Oreochromis niloticus: one gene and its partner. The protein of the gene in region 2 interacts with the protein of the main gene of each other region in a pairwise test. Links are inferred from orthologs where the notes say so. Each region holds a gene or a part of one and is shown on either strand. Other genes may lie near its edges.

The links.
Region 1: the proteins of arl16 (region 2) and pde6d interact in binary tests that used the Homo sapiens proteins (3 or more experiments, as listed by UniProt). The two-hybrid records come from large-scale screens. The link is inferred for Oreochromis niloticus from reciprocal best matches to the Homo sapiens genes ARL16 and PDE6D.

Annotation. Positions count from the first base shown.
Region 1 is NC_031981.2:24,030,386-24,037,963, forward strand, and holds the start of pde6d (retinal rod rhodopsin-sensitive cGMP 3',5'-cyclic phosphodiesterase subunit delta), read right to left. Parts: upstream 3,015-7,578; 5' UTR 2,779-3,014; coding exon 2,729-2,778; intron 1-2,728. Other genes in the region: rpl36 (large ribosomal subunit protein eL36), read right to left, coding at 5,353-5,442, 6,722-6,856, 7,117-7,209. UniProt on the Homo sapiens protein: Promotes the release of prenylated target proteins from cellular membranes. Modulates the activity of prenylated or palmitoylated Ras family members by regulating their subcellular location.
Region 2 is NC_031969.2:22,590,927-22,598,202, reverse strand, and holds arl16 (ADP-ribosylation factor-like protein 16), read right to left. Parts: upstream 3,015-7,276; 5' UTR 2,903-3,014; coding exon 2,827-2,902; intron 1,521-2,826; exon of another isoform or gene 1,510-1,520; coding exon 1,454-1,509; intron 1,374-1,453; coding exon 1,257-1,373; intron 1,155-1,256; coding exon 1,039-1,154; intron 882-1,038; coding exon 716-881; 3' UTR 690-715; intron 557-689; 3' UTR 111-556; downstream 1-110. Other genes in the region: fn3krp (ketosamine-3-kinase), read left to right, coding at 3,233-3,373, 3,615-3,766, 3,901-3,992, 4,467-4,549, 4,715-4,837, 4,940-5,278. UniProt on the Homo sapiens protein: May suppress the RNA sensing activity of RIGI in a GTP-dependent.

The sequences.
Region 1 (7,578 bases), on a different chromosome or scaffold from region 2:
GCTACATTCTCGCCTGAAAATATGTTAAACGTTTATTTTGTGACCCAGAAAGAATAACAAGAGTGATATTAAAACTAACTAGCTGCCGCCATTGTTGAAAACTGAGCCAAGCAGGTCCGCGCTATGAATTCTGGGACACAGCTTCTTCTTCTTCGGGGTTTAACGGCAGCTGGCATCCTTACACATGCAGTGCTGCCATCTTCTGTTTCAGTCCGTTATTACACTCTTAAATCCTACTACTTATTCCTGCGTCTTTGGGATCTTACGAAGCTTCAAACGACGTGTCGACTATTAAATTAGTCGTCAACGATTTTAATAGTCGACGTAATCGTGACTAGTCAACTAATCGTGGCAGCCCTACTTCCTTCCAGTTCCAAGATGTCTGAAGGGGTTTCGTAAGAACATCGTGACCATTTAAAATCATCACATTTCACCATTTACAAATCTGATGACTACTCAGTATGGGACGAAGTGAAATAACTTCACAAACACTACTTTAGTATTATGGAAGTTAAACAGGGCTGTTGTCATATTGGACTGTATATGTGTTACCGTTACAGTAAAGGAGGGAAAAAGAAAATGATATTCACCCCATTTCAATAAGGACAGAAGGCAGTAAAGCCCCGTTCCATTAAATCATGGATTTAAGCATTACCACAGTGCATCAAGAGGTCTGACCAAACGGTTAAAGGCATGCAGTAAAAGTGCTGTAGAAATGTGTGTGAATGTATGAATCAAGCCTGCAGTAAAAAGTGCCCACATGAAGCTGGTTAACTGGTCAAGTTAACCCAGGGAGTCCTAGTGTATCTTCAAGCTAATTTACATGAAAGGGTGACACTGGCACAGACCTAACCATTAAGTACACAATCACCCCCCCTACCCCCACCCCTTTCTTTTCTGTAGACTTTTTCCCATAGTACGATTTCTAATCTGGACATGCTTTTCAGTTTTTAGGTTTTCTGAGCATCAGAAATGAAGCGTATTTGTTTAATTCTGTGTGACACAGGTTATAACATAGTTTTACTCCTGTGTTTGAGTGCATATTTCAGAGCTTCTAGGCATGTCCTTGTATTTTAATGACTGTGAATTGACTCAGCACTGAGTTCTTATAAAATATAGGCAACCTAAACATCACATGTGTGCTTGAAACACCTCCTTAGCTTCTGCTTCATGCTTATGTTACAGCTTGTGTAGACAAGGCGTAACCCCTAAAAATAAGTCTACAATGATAACCTACACATAAGAGACTATTATGATACTACTCTACTGCACTTTTACTGCATGACTTAAATCGCTTTGTCTTTTTTTTTTTCCTTGTTTCCCTTGGTTAAAAAACAAACAAACAAAACAAAACAAGCTTCATGTTTAGTTTACAGACTGATGTTCTGACATTTGTTTTAAACTGGATGCTACAACTCAGAATTAATGAATCAATGACATGATGAGCTGCATCAAGCTTAAAGTGACTCTCTTTACCTACCTAAATGACTGAACACTTATCCTGCGTGGAAGCGGGTTACGTTCAGAGTTTTTCTTCAAAATCCACTGGAAGCACCATTTTTAAGTGCATTATAGATTCCCTGCTGGGGGAATATGTTTTATATTTGCAGCTGTTAAGCTGTACTGTCACAGGAATGTCCATGTATTAAACTGGCAAATTACAAAAATGTATAAATGTTGTTATACATGACTAATCTACTGCACAATCTCTTAGTCTGTTGGAACTCACATCAAATATACAGATTCAGGCAACAAAATTGATTTCTGCGTGTCTTTTATCAGGATGTGGGACAGTACCCCGTTTCTGATTAATCAGAAAGTTCCTCTTGGGTCTCATCTTTCCTAAGAAATGTTTAATTACTTCTGGCTTAGTGATGTGATCTTTACTAAGCCACAGATGGGCAGCAGTGTTCTCTTTTGAGAGCAGTGGATTTTCCTTGCAGTCCTGCGTTCAGTGCACCTGTGCAGAACAACAAAGATTTTGATCCATTTGTACAGTGTGACTGGATCGTTAGAGATGCCAAGTCAACGTTTTAAAAGCTGATGATGAACAGCATCTCCTATTCTCCAATCTTCACAAATCTGTTGCTCGGTCACTTTCTCAGACATGTGTTGGATGAGCGCTAACAGGCACACCAAAGAGGAATAAAATTGACTCACTACATGACTACACATTTAACAGGTCATACTGCAATCTCCAATGTTGCTCTGGTGATTAGCATACAAATCCAGAATACCTGAGTGGAATCAAGTCTGCCATCATCACACAAAGAGGCGCACCTGGGTTTCAACTTCCAGCATTACGGAACCATACAGCAGTCAGACTATGCTCAACGCGAGTCACATACCTGTGAGGCGCTTAATAATAGTTACAGGAGGCACAACAGTTACTTCTCAGCTACCTGAGCAAAATCTCATCCTCTTCATGTGCCACAGGTACTACAACTGCAGGCAAATTCACCCTCGTGTGGAAGCTCATGTGAGCCCACAGGTCGTCATTCAATGAGCTGCTGTTGTGTCCGTTCAGACACTGGAACACAGCAACTATACAACTCCGTGAGCAGAGACTGTGGCAGGTTAGCTTTAGCAACTAAGCTTGTTGTACAACAACATCCATCCTGCTAATGTGGCTGCAGCATCCTGTCCTATGCCTTTACCCAGACAGCTAGCTATTTAGCTCACTGCTGTGTTTCTAACATTCGCGCAACATAAACAGGAAAAAGGATACAGTTTGAAGCCCTTCAAAATTTCCTTGGCCCTGTCTTCGTCTGAAGACATGTCCGAAATGGTTTGTTTTCGTTCCTCACAGATAACCTAGACTTTTCTGAAAAGAGACGGCTGCTGTTCACGTTAGCTTAACTACTTGGCTAACTACTAGTCAGAATTCGCCTGGAACAACGTTCACTACTCTGCTGGACTGCAGGCTAAATCTGATCCGATAATGCAATCAGCTAAATATACCCAGCTAGCAAACGGGCTGCACACAGCCTAACCAGTGAAACGCAAGGGACCCCCTATCAGCCAATCACAAGGAGAATAGCGACCAAGGGCGGGACTAAAGCGGATAAAGACGCGTCACCAGTGGCAACGCCACACACAAAGTATTACATCATTATTGCGCTGTCTGTGTGCTTACTTCTTTTATCATTTAAGCACTCGCTCTCCTAAAACGCAAAACTAGGTGTGCGTTCAAATTCAGGGGCTGCCCTTAAAGACCGGAAGTGAGCGGCTGTTAAACTGGACCGTGTCCCCCTACGATGCTCGGCTCTTGTTGCTTAGCAACCGCGACAGTAGACGCTGCATCCGTGATGGACGTCCGAAATGGAGAAAATCTTTAATTTATGTCATTTATTTTACTTTTATTGGAGCAAAATTGTGTTGTTTCGTGTAATGTATGTGAGAACACCACAGCCGTGCGCGGACTCCCTTTAGCCAACAGTAATATTAACTTTAGCAAGTAAACTAGTTAGCTATAGTGTAGCTCAAGACACTATCCTCATTTCATTTTGATGGTACAAAAAATAATAGATCTTATACATATTTTATTATATATACTGTACTTACATAAAAAAATAGCTCACTGATAGAATTTAACTCAGTTGTCCTAAATGTTACATTTCAGTTCAAATTCAGGGTATTTAGTTCTAATTTTTAGTTTATACCTGTATGACTGTCTCACAAATAATTATATACTGCGACCCCTACAGCTGTCTGAAAGCTTTAGTTATATTGAAGGGCAATATCCCGTAGTGACAGCTAAAAATCCTTTTGTAGGTTTCAAATAAAATACAAGGTAAACGGATGTAGTAAATATTCTTTTATTGGATGAGAAAATTGTGCAATATAATTTTCTTAAGATGTTAAAGACAGAGCAAACTCTCCCAAATGCAAGGCTCACCAGGCTGGAAACTGTGGTTTGCACGCAGAATCCAAACTGGGCTGTCCTTCTCCAGGACCAAACAGTACTGAAAATTTACCATTTTTGCAGATGCTAAATCTTTTGATACTTATCTGGATTCATAATTCCATCGATTTTAACAAGATCTCCAACACCACTGGCTGAAATGCAGCCCCAACCATGAGAGAGCCTCCACCGTTTTTCACAGATGCAGGCTGTAGGTGTTCACCGTTTTACATCTTTCCTGACCTCCTCTACACTTACTGACAACTATTTGAACCAAAATCTTTTAATTTGGATCCATCACTCCATTGGGCCAGTTGCCACTGATTTTCAGTCCAGTTCTTGTGTAATGTGGCATACTTCAGGCTTTTCTTTGTTTACCTTTCTTAACAATGACTTCCTGTAAGCAACCCTTCCACTGAGGCAATTTCTGATGAGGCTTCAGTGAACAGTAGATGGATCAGCTGAAGGTGGAGATGCATCTCTCAGGTCCGAATAAGAAGATCATTTGTAACCTTCACTAAGGCCATTATTGTATATTGACTGAAACTCCTCAAATAAACTATTTTTCTCTGCACATGATCAGTAAGTGGTTTACAACTACACTTTCAAGAATTTCTGAGATAAAAGGAAGGTTGGAGATAATGCCTATAATTAGCCAATACAGCTGGGTCAAGTGGCATTTTAAGTAACTGTTTAACTACTGCCACAGAGGTCTGTGGTGCATAGCCAATTAACAGAGATGGAGATGATCAGCATTATTCAATTCACCTGTGAGTGCTAATTTTAGCACGACTGGTGTATGTGTAGCGTTTTGTAGTATTGATCACTCAAATTCTGTAAGACTACACGCCATACATCAAAACCATGCAAGCTCATCAAAGAACTTCCCAGTTGGGGTGTGAACCACAAACCCCTCACTGAGAGGCGACAGTGGTAACCACTGAACTTCCACACCTCATGTTTCTCCATTTCACTTTGTGAACTCATTAAAAAATTGGAAGTGGCTTGAGTGTGACCGTGTGTGAGACAGAATAAAGTGCTGGAGAACACTCAGCTGATTAAGCATTTTCACACACATCCCAAAGCTTCATGCTCCTTTCAAACAGAAATAAATGGGCACAAGTCACCATTATAAAATTTGTTTTATACTTAAAGTACACATTTCTATACAAAAATGTAATTGCTTTACTTCTGCTGCAGTGGTAAGTTCTTCGGTGATATTCATTCCTTTAGCCACAGTAGGCTAATCTACAGTCTGGTCTAAAGCCAAGCAGCATGTTATGTGTATATTTTGAAGCATCACTCAATTTTGAGATTTCTACAAACATCTTCAGGTGTGCTGTCGGCTAAGATGGTTGCAGCAACGTAAACAGATCTGATGAATAGTGACAAAGCAAAAAAAGAAAGACGAGGCTGGAATGTAGTTTCACGTTTTATTAAATGACTTTTTACTCCTTCTTGGCAGCAGCCTTTCTCATGGCAGCCAGTACGTTGCTCAGCTCTTCTCTCTTTCTCTTGGCCCGAATGTGAGTGCCGATCTGTAGGGGAAAAACAGTATAGAAATATTAGAAGAGCTCTGAGCTTTTCTGTTGTCCAGTCAGTGCATAATATCATATCCAACATACAATCACAAAAAAGCTCAGGTCCTTATAAATGGCCAACACACTACAGATTGCTCATGATAAAAGTACCTCACTGAAATTGTGAGAATGCACACATCTCAACTCATAGTTAACAGTTGGAAGGCTGTGTGACATGGAAAATAATGAGTGTAGCCTCCAAATCGCAAAACATGGCACTGTTTAACCTCATTAAGTGAACATGTTATGAAAGCTGAGCTCATTTTGAATGTGATCGCAGCCACAAATCATAAATAAGTTGGCACAGGGTCACATGCAGCACTGTGTAGCATCCCTCTTCTTCTAACAACAACCCACTAGTCCACCAGAGCAGCTGAGGGACTTGTGGAAGAGAAATGTTAGAAGATTATTCTTCTTCTCTGTTAGAGGATTTCAGCTGCTCAGCAGTTCTGGCCCTGCTTTGTCCTGTTTTTGGTGCAAACTGCCACTTCCAAAGGCACCGATTTCGATTAATATGACCTCAGCAGTTTCCCACTTTGCCTTAGTCTATTTTAAACTAGCTTTGGTCCAGAGAAGACAGCGGTGTCTATGGATAACACTCCGATGTGACTGCCACTTTGCATGTCAGAGTGCTAACCTGCATCTGTGGAGGGCACACTGAGCTGTGTTCACACACTTATCCTTAGCCCATGCACTGATTCCCACCGCACAATCATGCCTGTTTTGAGGGCCTGGTGATACGGACGTCCAACAGTGATGATATCATGAACTACAGATGATGAATTACTTAAAGTCGTCACGTGTTTACATTCAGAAACATTCTGAAATACAATTTGTAGATGCAGTTTTCTGCAGAATGGTGAACCTCTGCCTCTCCAAGATGCCCTTTTTAGACCAGTGATGTGACTCACATGTTGTCAACCTAAGTGGCTGCTAAATGTTCCTCCAGCTCTTTTTTTTTTAGTGCCACTTTTTCAGCTTGACCCTGTCCGAATGTTCTGATACCTGCTGCTGCCATCGAGTCAAAATGAGCTCAGTTTTCTTAACACGGTACATTTATTCAGTTTAAACATGTAATGCGTTTTATAAATAAATATTTATAAATACGCAAACGTTGTATTATCTTTATTTACATTTTACAACTTGTCCTCAATTTTGTGGTTTGTAACTGGGTAAATACTACTGTGGTTTAGGCTGGTGAGCACCTGCAGGTGCTTTGACACAAACACAAACTCACCCTCTTCTTGATGAACTTGAGGGCTCTCTTGTCCTTGGACACTTTCAGCAGCTCCATGGCTCTCCTCTCATACGGAGCAAACCCACACACTTCACGGATCATATCCCGCACAAACTTTGTGTGTTTGGTCAGACGCTGGGCAGTAAAGACATAGTACACGGTAAGTCAAAGCATTTAACACCATTCACTCCATTTGGACATAATGTGATATAGGAATGTTGATGCCTGATGATTATGCTTATGTGGACTGATTTACACTGTATGTTTCATCTTAAGCTTCAGGTCAATCCAGTCACAGAGTATGTACACAAACTACAGTCTTAAGTGCAAATATATTTATCCTAACACTTGTAATATAGTCAAGTCTGTAAAGTCACTCAGCAGGAGATACTCACCCCGCGCCGGCGGCTGTGTTTGGGAGCAGTTACATTTTTGGTGACTGGGTGGCCTTTGTTAAGGCCAACAGCCATAGGATAACGAATAGCCATGTCTGCGGAGGATAATACACAAACATTAAGACAAGTGCAAATGATGAGTTTTTAACTAGCTGCAATGTCACATGATCAAGAGACGTTGTACTTTGGTATGCAATAGCAGGAAGACCAACACTGACAACAGGCTCTTGTCTCAGCTCTATTGTAAGCCACCACATCAGCTTTGCACCCATGGGCAACGTTTTATCAAAGCCTTTTTTCCTACTTGAGTGGTCTACATCACTGGGTTCAGTGGTGTTATGATCATCTGACAGCAGGACAGCTCAAATAAAACAGGGTGTAGATGTGACATGGTAAGGTCTGTGAAACAGGAATAGGATGGGGCCCTCCATCGCTTTACTTTACTGCAAAGGTAGCTGTAGC
Region 2 (7,276 bases):
ACACACAGTCACTGGCCACTTTATTAGGTATACCTCACTAGTTTTCCTTCAGAACTGTTTTAATTCTATTTAACAAGGTGCTGGAAACATTCCTTGGATTTTGGTCCATATTGACTTGACAGTCTTATGCACTTGCTGCAGATTTGTCATGTGCACAACCATGGTGTGAGTTTGCACCAGACTTTGAAGGTGCTCCACTGGATTGAGATCTGGTGACTCTTGAGGCCATTTGAGTACAGTGAACTGATTGTCAAGTTCATGACTGGAGCTTTGTGACATACTGCGTTATCCTGCTGGGTGCAGGGTACCAAGAAAATATCTGGCACACCATTACACCGCTACCAGCCTGATCCTCTGATACAAGGGAGGGTGGATCTATACTTTCATTTTATTTATGCCAAATTGTAACAATACCATCCAAATTCCCGGGAGAAACTGACACTCACTGGACCAGGCAACATTTTTCAATTCTTTGATGTCTAACTTTGGTTAGCCTGTGCAAACTGTAGCCTGTTTCCTGTTCTTAGCCCCTCTGGTCTCCTTCTCCTCTGACCATCTACAACAACAAGGCCAGAGAACTCGGTTCAGCAGATCATCTTTACCATGTTTCAATGCTTAAACTAATTCAGTTGCTGCCATGTTATTAGCTGATTAGATATTTGCATGAAAGAGTAATTGTACATGTGTACCTAATGAAGTAGTCAGTAAGCGTATGTCACTTGACTGTGACGGACTCCAGCCAGCTCATCACCTCTTTAAGTCCCTCTCCAGATCTGGCACTGACTTCCAGTGTTGTGATTGGCTGAGTCGCAGATGCAACAATGTCATCCATCCTGAACAGTGACTTTATCTCTATAAGGCTCATAGTGCAAGGCGTGTCCCTGGGGGAAAAATTTAAAATTGGAAAAGAAAATCAAAAATTTCCTAGTGGTATTATTAGCTTTCCTTATTACATACAAATTGCATTAAACCTGCTAGAGATCTTGTACAATATAGTAAAACACTAATAGAGACTGATGTGTATTCTAGGAGTGTCACCTCTTGTTGAAGAGAATAAGCACAGAGGCCTTGCTCAGAGGCTCAGCTGAGAGTACTGACAGCAGCTGGATACAGGAGGAGGATATCTGAGCAATGTTGGCTGAATCCACCATGAACTATGGAGAAATGTAAACAAAAGAAATCTACTCAAACACTTCAATTTAGAAAACCCATATTGAATATTACAAATATAAACAGCATGTATACAAAGATCATACAATGACAGAGGAGCAGTCTTTGAAGTAACTGGGCCATATAGGGCCCATGCAGCCTCCCAGCTCTCTCACAGTCACCTTCTTCTTCTTCACGGTCAGGTCTGTCAGATTGGTTCCTACCTACAAAGAATGAAGACTGGAGATTGAAGAAATTACACGGATAAGGTGTCAGAGAATTTGAACTGTCCATTAGTACTTACTGTGGGAAGAGTTGAAGGTGGTGTCCCTAATTCATCTAAACCATGTACGATAAACTGTAAATGAAATCTGATAGGAAAATTGACTTGAGCCAGCATTGCTATCAGCTTTAAAGAAAAACATTTTGAAATGTTTATGCAATATTTTATGAGCTATGAAAGTAGAACTTGAATATTTGTTATGAGTAAGGTTGGTGATGTCACAGCTGAGAGACTACTGTTCACTTGTCACCTCACAAATGAGATCATGTCATCTGCTCAGATGACAGTTTATTAATAATCCACCAATTTGGGCAAAGTTTATATGCGATGGGCCCCATGCATGTAATCTAGGCAACTGGAGGATAGTGTTTAACTTGTGCTGTTGCAGATCACTTCCCTTTCAATCTCTGAAATATAATTTTTAGAATAAAAGCAACTGGAAAAATACAGAAATAGCTAGCAGGCTGTATCTGGTAAGTATGCCAAGGACTTTTGAAGTGCAGGAGAAGCTCCTGAAGACATTTTATGACTCTGTGGTTCCAACAGCCATCTGTAATGGTGTTGGTCTGTTGGGGCAGCAGTATCTCTACTGGGGACAAAAAGAATTGAAACAGGTAGACCAAGAGTGCCAACGTGATGCCCTCTTGACCCAGTGGAGGTAGTAAGTGACCGGTAGCATTGTAGCTAAACACCTCCCACCCAATGCAGGACACTCTTACAGCACTGAGCAGCTTCTTAAGCGTCAGGCTGCTGGACCCACGGTGTGTAAAGGAGCAATATTGGAGGTCTTTCCATCTAGCAGAGCCGCAGCAGTAAAACACATGTATATTTACACATGCACACATTAGGGACTGATAAATAACAGTGTGCAACTGTTTTCAACACTCCATCTCCTATTAGCATCATCTGGGGGTTCTGTTTTGTTGCTTCTAGGCATCTAAAGATGTTATATTTTATCACTGCGCCATATATGTACACACATTTAAATTATACTTCTACCTTGTACATGTTTCCTATTGTTTTATATAATTATAATTATTATTGTTATTATCCACTTTCTGACCATTGACAATTTCACATTACAGTACAGCACTAATTTCTGCAGTAATGCGAATTTCCAAACTAATAAGGGCTATCATAGCTTCTATATTGTAATAATAATCTCTCTTAGAGGTCTTATTATGAAGATGAATTTGTACACATACCGATGCAAAATAAAATAACACTGGGTATCGACATTTGGCAATTGGGAAAGGCGATATACAGACCCTGGTCGTCCATTACTTAGCAACTTAAGTACTACACAAGCTCATAGGCTAAATTAGTTAGCTAATTAAGCTATTTGGTAGTATTTCCTTTTACGTCAAAGAAATTCACATGGCCACAAAGGATATTTTGTAGACGTTTGAGCAACAACGTCTTACCAACACCGGTCGCTCCGAGGAGTAAACACATTTCTTTGCTGGTCATGCCGGTTTTTCTGCAGAACCATAGTTAAACTCGTAGCGTATAGCTGTAGCCTCACTTGGCACCATGGCGACGTTCACGTGACCGGGCAGACGTCGCAACTATTGGACAAAGTAGAAATCAATCCAATCATAAACAACCCAGACTTGTTTATGATTGGCTACTACTCTATCATTATTTACATACCGGAAGCAAAACAAAATCCTGCTTCGGGACAAAGTCCTGGTTGGCTGCCACAACGGAAACTGTCAGAAAGACTTTCATACCCGCATTTGCAATGCGTAGTTGGTTTTAGTCCTGCTGTAACTGTCCTGGAACTGATGATAAATAATCATGGAAGCTAAGTTAAAGAAGGAGTTGGGGACAACCATGCTGAAATCAGCTGGTCATGCTGGAGGTGGATGCATCAGCGAGGGACAGAGTTATCATACTGACACTGGGAAAGTGTTTGTAAAGACAAATCACAAGAGTGAGGTATCTGCCATTGTTAGTTTTTCATTTTCTTTAACTGTTGTGTCATTCAGTTAGTTCATGGTCGGCTTTCGGCGTGTGCTCAACTCGGGACTTAAATGAATAGGACATGATCCAGCAGCTGCACCACACTACTGTCCGTGGACTTTGTGCGGGTGTTGTGGAGTGGAGAACGATGCAAATATTTACAGTTACTGAAGCTTGTGTTTACCAGACCGTGTTGTCCTGTCTTTAATTTATCCAGGCCAAACTGATGTTTGATGGAGAAGTGGCCAGTTTGGAGGCTATTGTAAAGACAGAAACCGTGAAAGTCCCCAAGCCCATAAAGGTGATTGAGCTTGACACGGGAGGCTCTGTATTTGTGATGGAACATCTGGACATGAACAGTCTTAGCAAGTAAGAGAGCTCTTGACTACATTTTTTTCTTTAGTGCAGTTTAAAGCAGAATTTGGGCAGATGAATTTAGTTTTAGAAACACTGAGCAAAATATTTTTTCAATGACATACTTTATTTTTAAATGCAATGAGCAGGTACTCAAAACAGCTAGGAGAGAAGATGGCAGATCTGCATCTTCACAACAAGAAACAACTGGAAAAATTAAATAAAGAGCAACAGACAGTGGGTAATTCAGTTTAACTTAATTTTAGGATGCCACAATGTGGATAATACACACACACACACACACACACACACACACACACACACACACACAACCCCGTTCAGCTATCTTAGTGAGGACCCTCATTGACATAATGGTTTCCCTAGCCCCTTACCCTAACCCTAACCATTAAAAATGAATGCCTAACCCTAACCCTTACCCTAAACCTAACCATAACCTAATTGTAACCCTGACACTAAAACCACGTTTTAAGCCTCAAAAATGGCTTTAAATGCCTTCAAAAATGTGAGGACCGGGTTGTGTGTCCTCACAAGTGACTGCTGGTTCTCACAAGTATAGTAGAATGCAGATTTCGGTCCTCACAAAGATAGCTAGACAAGAACACACACACACACCAATGAATAATAATGAACTGTGTCATATTTTAGGTAAAACGTTTGTGATGACTGTTTATTAATATTGCGGCTATATATGCAGGAAAAGGAGCGGGTCAGTCAGATGTGGCTGCTGTTGAAAAATTTGGCTTCCATGTAACTACATGCTGTGGATATCTGCCACAGGTAAAGCCAATGTATACGTGTCGATATACTGTGTCTGCATTCTAGGGGAAGGTGTACAGTATTGATGTCTCTAAGTTGTGTTACAAATGTTTGGTCTCCAAATCTTCAAGATGTTAAAGTGAATTTCAGCAGCATCACAGTTTCTTCTCTTTCTTACCTCTCCAGGACAATCAATGGCAGAGTGATTGGGTGGCATTCTACACCCAGCAGAGGCTACAGCACCAGCTTAACGTGGTGGAGAAATCGTATGGAGACAGGGAGACCAGAGAACTATGGGCTGAGTTACAGGTGCAACCTCCCTTTGATTCTGTTTGAAATTAAACATATTTTGCACAAGACATTATGATTGTTTCAGCATTGTAATGTGCATGTTGTGTCTCTTATTTCCAGCTGAAGATCCCCCAGTTCTTCAAAGATGTGGAGATAGTCCCCGCTCTCCTACATGGAGATTTATGGGGAGGAAACGTGGCAGAGTGTGCAGACGGCCCAGTCATCTTCGATCCTGCTTCCTTCTATGGGCACTCTGAGTTTGAGTTGGGTATTGCTGGGATGTTTGGTGGCTTCAACAGCGCTTTTTACTCTGCATACCACAGCAAGATTCCCCAAGCACCAGGATTTGCAAAGAGGAACCAGCTTTACCAACTCTTCCACTACCTGAATCACTGGAACCACTTTGGTGGTGGTTACAAAGGTTCTTCCATAAGAGTTATGAAGACCCTGCTGAAATAAACACACTCACAGCCACTCTTAGAAAGCATTGCAGTCTTAAATTGAAGTATTATGCGATTTTGCTTATTTGACCAAAAACAGTGTGTGAAGACACTAAACAACACATCTAACACTTTAATGTCTTCTGTACTGTGTAGAAAATGCTGACCTAACATAGCAAAAACTGTTGCATCCTGCCAGCTCATCTGACACTGTCCGGCTTCCTAATATTTATAACAGAATCCGCAAATAAATTCTGTATTTTGCACAAGGTGTTACAGTGAATTAAGTGTAGTTTGTGTACAGACATACATTAAACAAAACTTGCAAATCAGAAGACTGTACAACACACCCATGATTCAACTTAAAAATGAATGTTTTTTATTTATTTATGTTAATATTTAGGAATCCTTTATAAGCAGGTAGAACAAACTAGAATCTGACTTTCACTATGGATGCAATGTTTTATATTTTATCTACATTATAGTAGAATGGCTACGAATGGAATAAAGGTTGGCATACTAACTACACCTACAAAATATCACTGTATAACAATGAGTCATTGCAAGCCCTTGTTGTGCATGGTATAACCAGTATTAAATCCTAAGTGAATCCACTGTGTTTATCCAGACCTGCTGAATTTGTTATTTATCTAGTGTGAAAACCTTTACACCCTGTGAATGGAGGCATGGAAAAGAAAAACACTCCCATTTGGATGGAAATGTTTCATCATTAGATCAGCTTCACAGCAGCCCAAATAACTGTTTAGCAGTGTTGGGAAGGTTACTTTTAAAATGTATTCCATTACAGAATACTGAATACATGGCCCAAAATGTATTCTGTAACGCAGGGGTGGGCAATTCCAGGCCCCGAGGGCCGGTGTCCCTGCAGGTTTTAGATCTCACCTTGGGTCAACACACCTGAATCACATGATTAGTTCATTACCAGGCCTCTGAAGAACATCAGGACATGTTGAGGAGCTAATTTAGCCATTTAAATCAGCTGTGTTGGTTCAAGGACACGTGTAAAACCTGCAGGGACACCAGCCCTCGGGGCCTGGAATTGCCCACCCCTGCTGTAACGTATTCCGTTACGTTACTCAATGAGAGTAACGTATTCTGAATACTTTGGATTACTTAATATATTATCATGCTGTTTACAACTACGTGAATGTACTATTGCTGTGATTTATTACTGTTACTGAAGGTCCGCGGCTCCGAACAGTAGTAAAGGGACCTCGGGCTAATACAGTGGGTTCCGTGTCGGGCTGGTAGCCGAAAAATAGCTTTACTTTGTTGTCTGGGTCAACTTTGCTTGCCAGAGACAGAGAGAGGCGTTGAAAGGCTGCTCCAACGGAACTTATTTTTTCCGGAGGAAAACACGAACACAGTGTACAATTGAGTCTTAATAGCTTACTTAATAGCTTACTTAATAGCTTACTAGCTTACGCCCCACAGCTTACTTACTGTGGGGCGATCGTGGCTCAAGAGTTGGGAGTTCGCCTTGTAATCGGAAGGTTGCCGGTTCGATATGTTTTCCTTGAAATGGATAGCTGTTTGTTTGCTAGTGATAGGCTACTTGCGAACCAGTGTTCTCCAGACAGAGAATTGCGTGTCAATGTATTATGATTTATTATGAAAGTACAGGTGAATATAGCTCTCCCGTCAATATATTATGATATATAATAAATGTACAGGTGAATATAGCTGTCATAACAATGTCAGGCAAAATTGCAGTAGCTTCCCTGATCATTTTACAAACATAAGTGAAGAGAATTTGAACTAAAAGGCCTAGACTAATGGTTGTGTGCTGAATCTATGAATCAAACTATCACCTGGAAACATAATTAACTGGTCCATAGCCGTGAAACTGGACATGAGTTCTTGATTCTATGGAGATTAACAGTAATCCAGAAATTTACAAATTTGTCCTGGGACATCGTGTTAAAGTTGCCAGAGACATACCATAGCCTCTTTTAGCCCCTGTTTGTTTTATATCATAAGTCGCAGAAGTATGACG